2 linked regions of the Sus scrofa genome follow. The protein of the gene in region 1 purifies or fractionates together with the protein of each later gene. This does not show direct contact. Links are inferred from orthologs where the notes say so. Each region holds a gene or a part of one and is shown on either strand. Other genes may lie near its edges.

Region 1 (4,023 bases):
TTTTAAGCAAAAAGTATTACGAGTCTAGTTTTTAAATAAAAGATTAAACATTATTTTTATATATTCATTATTTCATATGTGGGCTATGGACTGAAGAATTGTAGGATTTGAAAACTGTTATTGGAGTTCCCATCGTGGCTCAACAGTTATGAACCTGAGTAGTATCCATGAGGACATGTGTTTGATCCCTGGCCTCGCTAATTTGGGTTAAAGATCCTGCATTGCCGTGAGCTGTGGTATAGGTCACAGATGTGGCTTGTATCCCTCCTTGCTCTGGCTGTGGTGAGGCTGGCAGCTACAGCTCTGATTTGACCCCTAGCCTGGCAACTTCCATATGCCTCAGGTGTAGCCCTAAACAAAACAAAAAGAAAATTCTTAAAATTATTTAGCTTTATTATTAAAACCTGTTGGGGAGTTGCTGTCATGGCACAGCGGAAACTAATCTGACTAGGAACCATGAGGTTGTGGGTTTGATCCCTGGCCTCGCTCAGTGGGTTTAGGATCTGGCGTTGTCGTGAGCTGTGGTGTAGGTCGCAGATGTGGCTTGGATCCTGCATTGCTGTGGCTGTGGTGTAGGCTGGTGGCTACAGTTCCAATTGAACCCCTAGCCTGGGAACCTGCATATGCCATGGGTGTGGCCCTTAAAAAAAAAAGTAAAAGTTGGCCATTGAGCTGTGCTGGGGAAGATAAAGCAGATTGATAAAATTCTTTAATAATAATATACTTTAATAATATATATCTCTCCTTTTAGGCATGTTCGTATACTCATGAACAGATTGTGGAAATGATGGAGTTTTTGATAGAATATGGCCCAGCACAGCTGTATTGGGAACCAGCTGAAGTCTTCCTCAAACTTTCTTGTGTCCAACTCTTACTGCAGCTTATTTCTATTGCCTGCAATTGGAAGACCTATTATGCAAGGTGGGACCAGAGAAAGGTTTCCAATGAAGTTAGATTCTGCTTTTTGCTAAAGTTAATGTTGGTTTTCACATAGTGTAGCAAATCTTTGTTGAATGAAATTTTGGGCTTGAATCTGAGAAACTAGATTAAGCATCTTCATATCATTTGTAATTTAGAGAGTAGTTGGTCTTGGCTTTAATAAATACTGCACAATAGGCAGAGATCAACATCTGTACTCTTAGAAAATGTTATATAAGATTATATATTTTAGCTGCAGAGGTGGGGTTGAAGTCCTATCTTGAGACTGGCGCCCAGTATTCTTTGGTGTTTAGACTTTAAATGTCTCTAGTGCTTGACAGCTATATGTAATATTTATCTTATCTACACGTAAAACTGTATTTTTTGCTCTTATGATTTTTACCATTCTGTTAAAAACAGAGCAAAGCAGGACAAGGCTCAGAAAAAACAGTTAATGCAATCAGGAGATTGAGGACGATGTAAAAAGGATTAAAACTGTATTTTGGAAAAGATGGAGTCTGAAGGGAAGATAGTAATGAAGTTTAAAACCCGTGGTTCTTGACCTCCGTTCCTTATCCATCCACTACCATAAAAACAAGAGGGTCTTGTTTAGGGTACATATAGCTTATTTGCTAAGTCCCAGGTTATCAAATCTACGAGAATACTTTGGAGTGGCCATTTTCAAACTTTCTGGTCTCAGGATCCCTTTACTGTATTAAAAATTATTAGAACCCCCAAAAGCTTTTGTTTTTATATTAGATCGATTAATATTTAACGTATCAGAAATTAAAACAAAATGTAAAAATATTTATGAATTATTTAAAAATCTGAACCCATTGCTTATTAGCATTTTTTTTTTTTTTGGTCTTTTAGGGCCATACTTGCGGCATTTGGAGGTTCCCAGGCTAGGGGTTGAATTGGAGCTGTAGCCACTGGCCTGCGCCACAGCCACAGCAACGTCACAGATCTGAGCCGTGTCTGTGACCTACACCATAGGTCACGGCAATGCTGATCCTTAATCCACTGAGTGAGGCCAGGGATTGAACCTGAATTTTCATGGATCCTAGTCGGGTTTGTTAACCACTGAGCCACAACGGGCACTCCCTTATTAACACTTTTTAATGAAAAGTTTCTCTAAATAAAACCAGATGATTTCAGCAAGTTTTTAAAATATCTGGCTTAAAATCTCATATCTCTTTCTGTATTCAATCTTTCGTGACATCACACATGATACAGGCTCTGGAAAGGTCTCCTATACACTCATGAGAGAATGAGAGTGAGAAAGAAAAATAACATCTTAGTGTTATTATGAAAATAGACTTTAGGAGTTCCCCCTGTGGTACAATGGGATTGTCAGCATCTCTGAATTGCCAGGACACAAGTTCGATCCCCAGCCTGTCACAGTGGGTTAAAGGATCCGGTGTTGCTACAGCTGTGGTCAGATCTGGGAACTCCATATGTTGCAGGATTGTCAAAAATGAAAAAAGTGTCCTCTTTTTTTTTTTTTTTGGGCCACACACACCCATGCATGCAGAAGTTCTTGGGGCAGGGATTGAATCTGAGCTACAGCTGTGACAGTGCCAAATACCAACTGTTAGGCCACCAGGGAACTCCTACAAGCTTATTTTTAAAAATAAAATTAGGAGTTCCCGTCGTGGCGCAGTGGTTAACGAATCCGACTAGGAACCATGAGGTTGCGGGTTCGGTCCCTGCCCTTGCTCAGTGGGTTGACGATCCGGCGTTGCCGTGAGCTGTGGTGTAGGTTGCAGATGTGGCTCGGATCCCGCGTTGCTGTGGCTCTGGCATAGGCCAGCGGCTACAGCTCCGATTTGACCCCTTACCTGGGAACCTCCATATGCCGCGGGAGCGGCCCAAGAAATAGCAAAAAGACAAAAAAAAAAAAAAATTTAGGGAGTTCTCCTGTGGCACAGCAGGTTAAGGATCCAGGGTTGTCACTGCAGCAGTTGGGGTCGCTGCTGTGTGTCAGGTTCGATCGCTGGCCTGGGAATTTCCACATGCCTTGAGTGTGACTCCCCCCCGCCCCCCCAAATCAAATACTTGTTTTGCTTAGAATATATAGAACCTTAGAAATGAAAAATATTTTTAGCCACTGTTAATTTCAGTTGTCTTTTTTCATAATGTATATAAATATACATAATTGAGATTATAGTATTTAACCAGATTCATCTTTTAAATGAAATAGCTCAAAATACATCAAGGTACAGAGAATTATACAACAACTGCCTCATACCCAGGGTTGGCATATTTCTGTATTTGCTTCTTTTTCAGTTCCTTTCCTTTTTCTGCCTCCCTAGAGTGACTGGTCTTCTGAATTTGGTGTATGTTCTCTCCATTGATGTTATGCTATACATACATGTAGGTGTGTAAATAATAATATAGTATTCTTTCATATGTTTTAAAGTTATATAAATATTATCCTATATGTGTCTTTTGCAACTTGCTTTTTTCACCCTTATTTTTATTTATTTTAAAATATAAATTTTAGGCATACAGTCACTTTTTTTTTGGCTGCTCCACGGCATATGGAGTTCTCCGGTCAGGGATCAGATCTAAGCTGCAGTTTTAACCTATGCCACAGCTGCAGCGATGCCAGATCCTTAAACTCCTCTTTCAGGCTGGGGATTGAACCTGCGTTCCAGTGCTCCCAAGCTGCTGCCCATTCCGTTACACCATAGCCATTGTTATGTGTTTATTTGTGTTGATATTTACCTGAAGTTTTGTGTTTCTGTACTATAGTTTATTCTCCCATTGATGGATATTTGGTGTCTGTTTTTTTTCCCATCAAATGAATGGTATCAGGAACCTCTTTTTGGAATCTCTTGAATATATAATGTGTATAGTCTGGGTTATAGTGTGTCCATGTTTCGTCTTCGGTGGATGCTGCCAGATTGCTTGGAAAATGCTCATACTATTTTCTTCCTCCAGCAGCAGTCTATGAGTGTTTTCATTTTTATACCTTTTTGTCAATACTTGGTGTTGTTGGATTTAAAATTTTATATCTTATTTTTTTATTTCATTAATGTATTTTTGAATCTTTTTTTTGTTTTTTTGAGTTCTTTGAAAATAATTGTCATTAGCTGCAAA
Region 2 (4,239 bases), on another chromosome or scaffold:
CCTCTTTCTTTATTCTTTCCTTTGTTTTTTGTGTTTGCTTGTTGCTTTGGAGAGGAACGCTTTCTTAACTTCCCTTTGGCCAGGAGATCTCCCTCCCTGCAGGATTTCTCAGGCCTTTACTTTGAGAGTTGCTGGTCGTTTAATTTCCCTTTATGCAGGCTCTTAAATGGAGAGATAGCTTAATTCGCACCAGTCACTATTATCACCAGAAAACATCTCTGGGCAGCAGAGTAGGCTCCGCAGGTAAAGGTACAGGTCTCTACCTGCTTTTTAGGAGCTAACACTTGGGTGTGTTACAGACACACCTAAAGAACCAGCCAAATTGTAGGGGCGACAAGACAGGGTAAAGGCAGTGTACACAACTTGCTCGGGTGTAGGGGTGGGGAGAGGGCTGGAGTGGGCTAGGTTTGCCGGAGGTGGTTTTTTGTTTTTTCTTTTTAGGGCCGCACCCTTGGCATATGGAAGTTCCCAAGCAAGGGGTCGAATCCGAGCTGCAGCTGCTGGCCTATGCCACAGCCAATGTCAGATCTGAGCCCAATCCGTGACCTCTGTTGCAGCTTGTGGCAACGTTGTATCCTTAACCCACTGAGCAAGTCCAGGTATCGAACCCACATCCTCATTGATACTAGTTGGGTTCTTAACCTGCTGACCACAACGGGAACTCCCAGAAGTGAGTTTTGAAAGACTAACGGAGACGGAGGGTAGAGGGAAGTTGGGAGGGGTTAGAAAATGCCAGGGATGTTCTCAGTGCTGTAGGTAATGAGGTGGAAGGAGGAAAGAAAGGATGTGTAGACCAAGGCACTCAGGACCAGGCTCCACTGGCAAACCATTCATTCACTCAAAAATCATTTATGGAGTTCCCCTGTGGCTCAGCGGGATTTGAACTTTTGTGGCTCTGATTACAGCTGTGGCGTGAGTTCCGTCCCTGGTGCGAGTACTCCTGCATGCTGTGAATGCGGCCCGAAAAAGAAATCATTTAGGTGCCCATATGTCAGGTAGTTTTGATCACGTGTTACAGTGATAAAGGCGACAGAACGCCCTTCGGTGGGGATGAGTGAGACGTGTGCAAGGAACAGACACGAGAGCCAATGTGGCTGAAGCACGGCGATCAAAGGGCAGAAAAGCAGAGGCCAGGGCTGGCTGGCGGGCAGGGGTCTGATCTTACAGGGTCTTGCAGGTGGTTAGGAGTGTGGCTTTTACTCTGAGGGCAACAACATGAAGTTTCATTCATGCTGCAGCAGCCTTACAAAGTAGGCAGTCTAATCCCAGTATACTTTAGGACGATCAGGGTGCGGTTAAGTAAGTTGTTCAAGGTCAGAGGCAGGCGAGAGGGCTACTAAGACCTGCCGGCTCTCCCCGACCCAGGGCTGCCTGCGCGGGTCTGGGCAGGCGCGCGCCACGGCCGCACTGAGCATGCGCTGCTGCCTACGGAAGCCGGCAGGGAGGGGGCGGGGCCGACACTGGCGGGCGCGGGGGAAATGGCGGCGGCGGCTGCGGCGAACGGGACCGGAGGGAGCAGCGGGATGGAGGTGGATGCAGCAGGTAACCGACCGGGAGGGAGCGGCTTCTGGAGACGCCCTTGGGGCGCGTCAAGGCCTTCCTGGACTCCCGGGGAAGTCGGGAGGGCGGGTCAGCGGCGCGTTCCCTGGGATAACTTGCGGGAGGGATGTATGGCCCGGCTCTGCTGGCTTCCCCTCCCATCTCCCGGGGGGAACGTGGGACCCGGACTCTCACCCTCTCTTCCAACTGCTTAGTCGTCCCCAGCGTGATGGCCTCCGGAGTGACTGGCAGTGTTTCAGTCGCCCTTCACCCCCTCGTCATTCTCAACATCTCAGACCATTGGATTCGCATGCGCTCCCAGGAGGGGCGGCCTATGCAGGGTGAGTGTTCGGCGTAATTCTCTGGCCTTCTTTTCCTGGTCATCTCCCCCAAACGGTGGTCCTTCCCTTTCCTTTGCTGAAGCCAATTCTTCCGCCGCAAACCACCCGTTTCCCTAGTACTGGGTTCACTTGACCTCAGACCCTCAGGCTATACTGATTTAACTAAGTTTCAGGATTCTTTACCCTCACCTCTTGTGTCCTCTCCTCCAGTGATTGGGGCTCTGATCGGGAAGCAGGAGGGCCGAAATATCGAGGTGATGAACTCCTTTGAGCTGCTGTCCCACACCGTGGAAGAGAAGATTATCATTGACAAGGAATATTATTACACCAAGGAGGAGCAGTGTGAGAGGGGAATAGAGGTGGGGGAGAGGAGTGGGAGTTAAAAAAAGAAAGAAAATCAGAATAGGGAAGGTGGAGAGGGTTGGGGGGAAAAAAATAAACAGGAGATGAGCAGAATGGAGGCCAAGTGACGAGAAGGTAGCTGTAGAGATCTTTAAAAAAGAACATATTTGGGAGTTCCCGTCGTGGCTCAGTGGTTAACGAATCCGACTAGGAACCATGAGGTTGCGGGTTCGATCCCTGGCCTTGTTCAATGGGTTAAGGATCCAGTGTTGCCATGAACAGTGGTGTAGGTCGCAGGTGCAGCTCGGATCCTGCATTGCTGTGGCTGTGGTGTAGGCCGACGGACACAGCTCCAATTGGACCCCTAGCCTGGGAACCTCCATGTGCTGCGGGAGCGGCCCTAGAAATGGAAAAAAGACCAAAAAAAAAAAAAAAAAAGAACATATTTGGTTACTTCCCACAAAGTAAGGAGAAGATAGAAGAGATGACTTACTCTAAACTGAGCCGGGATGGGATGGGGAGAAGCTGGTTAAAATCCACCAGGAGCTTCAAATTAAAGAAGCGATATTTAAAAAAAAAAAAAAAATACTCTGTGCTCTGGCCCTTTCCTCCTCAGTTAAACAGGTGTTCAAGGAGCTGGAGTTTCTGGGTTGGTATACCACAGGGGGACCGCCTGACCCCTCTGATATCCACGTCCATAAGCAGGTATACACACTTCCGTTTGCACGTTGGGGCGGAGGACAGAGGATGAGCGGGAGAAAAATGGGCCCTGGCACTCAGGTGCATCTGCCCCCTCTTCCAGGTGTGCGAGATAATTGAGAGCCCTTTGTTTCTTAAGTTGAACCCTATGACTAAGCACACAGATGTGAGTAATACTGAGCCCGTGGCTACTTTGTCCTGCTTGTCCATTGCTATGCCTACCCAGATTTTAATTCTCATCCTGTTTTTTACTGTATCGCCTCTGTTGAATTGACTCTCCCTTCTCTTTACCAGCTGAGACTTTGGGTGTCATTTAACCTCTAAACTGCATTTCCCCCATGTACTAAAATGGGATAATTCCTACTTGTAACTTGGGGACATAGAAAAACGGAATGCGAAAGGGCCAAGCCTGGTTTGGGGCCCTTCAGGTACGTGTGCTGTTACTAAGAGCTCTTCGCCCATCTCCTCTTTACAGCTTCCGGTCAGCGTCTTTGAGTCTGTTATAGATATCATCAATGGAGAGGTAATGCCATACCCTTCAACTCTCAGACCCTGCTCCCGGTGTTTCCTGCTTTTGACTCTCTCTCTGTGCCCTGTAGGCCACGATGCTTTTTGCTGAGCTGACCTATACCCTGGCCACAGAGGAGGCTGAACGCATTGGTGTAGATCATGTGGCCCGAATGACAGCAACAGGCAGCGGAGAGAACTCCACTGGTAATGCAGGCTGGAGGGGTTTCCTTCGCAGCGGGGGGTGGGACGTGTTGGCCCCATGCCTTCTCAGCCTTGGCCTGACCCTGTGTAGTGGCGGAACACCTGATTGCGCAGCACAGCGCCATCAAGATGCTGCACAGCCGCGTCAAGCTCATCTTGGAGTATGTCAAGGCCTCTGAAGCAGGTAGGACAGGTGTCCCCCTGACACTTGAACCACTTTTTCTCTCCTTCCTGGGGAAGCAACAGTATCACATTAATGCAGCCCTTTGCTGTGCCTTTAGGAGAGGTCCCCTTTAACCATGAGATCCTGCGGGAGGCTTATGCTCTGTGTCACTGCCTCCCAGTGCTCAGCACTGATAAGTTCAAGACAGACTTTTATGATGTGAGTATAAAGCCCAGGATCAGGAGGGTGGGGCTCATGCCACCATTTCTGCATGCAGGACATTGGAGCCAGAGCCCCTGGGAAACTGGTTCTTTGTTTCCTTGCAGCAATGCAATGACGTGGGACTCATGGCCTACCTAGGCACCATCACCAAAACGTGCAATACCATGAACCAGTTCGTGAACAAGTTCAACGTCCTCTATGACCGACAAGGCATCGGCAGGC

The links.
Region 2: the proteins of DCAF1 (region 1) and COPS6 purify together in Homo sapiens (affinity purification with mass spectrometry; 7 studies listed by BioGRID and IntAct, with this or other methods). This does not show direct contact. The link is inferred for Sus scrofa from reciprocal best matches to the Homo sapiens genes DCAF1 and COPS6.

What each region holds. Positions count from the first base shown.
Region 1 is NC_010455.5:33,702,052-33,706,074, reverse strand, and holds part of DCAF1 (protein VPRBP), read left to right. Parts: intron 1-751; coding exon 752-921; intron 922-4,023. UniProt on the Homo sapiens protein: Acts both as a substrate recognition component of E3 ubiquitin-protein ligase complexes and as an atypical serine/threonine-protein kinase, playing key roles in various processes such as cell cycle, telomerase regulation and histone modification.
Region 2 is NC_010445.4:8,001,263-8,005,501, forward strand, and holds the start of COPS6 (COP9 signalosome complex subunit 6), read left to right. Parts: upstream 1-1,439; 5' UTR 1,440-1,478; coding exon 1,479-1,542; intron 1,543-1,754; coding exon 1,755-1,880; intron 1,881-2,090; coding exon 2,091-2,222; intron 2,223-2,838; coding exon 2,839-2,927; intron 2,928-3,024; coding exon 3,025-3,087; intron 3,088-3,396; coding exon 3,397-3,444; intron 3,445-3,520; coding exon 3,521-3,635; intron 3,636-3,723; coding exon 3,724-3,816; intron 3,817-3,913; coding exon 3,914-4,014; intron 4,015-4,121; coding exon 4,122-4,239. UniProt on the Homo sapiens protein: Component of the COP9 signalosome complex (CSN), a complex involved in various cellular and developmental processes.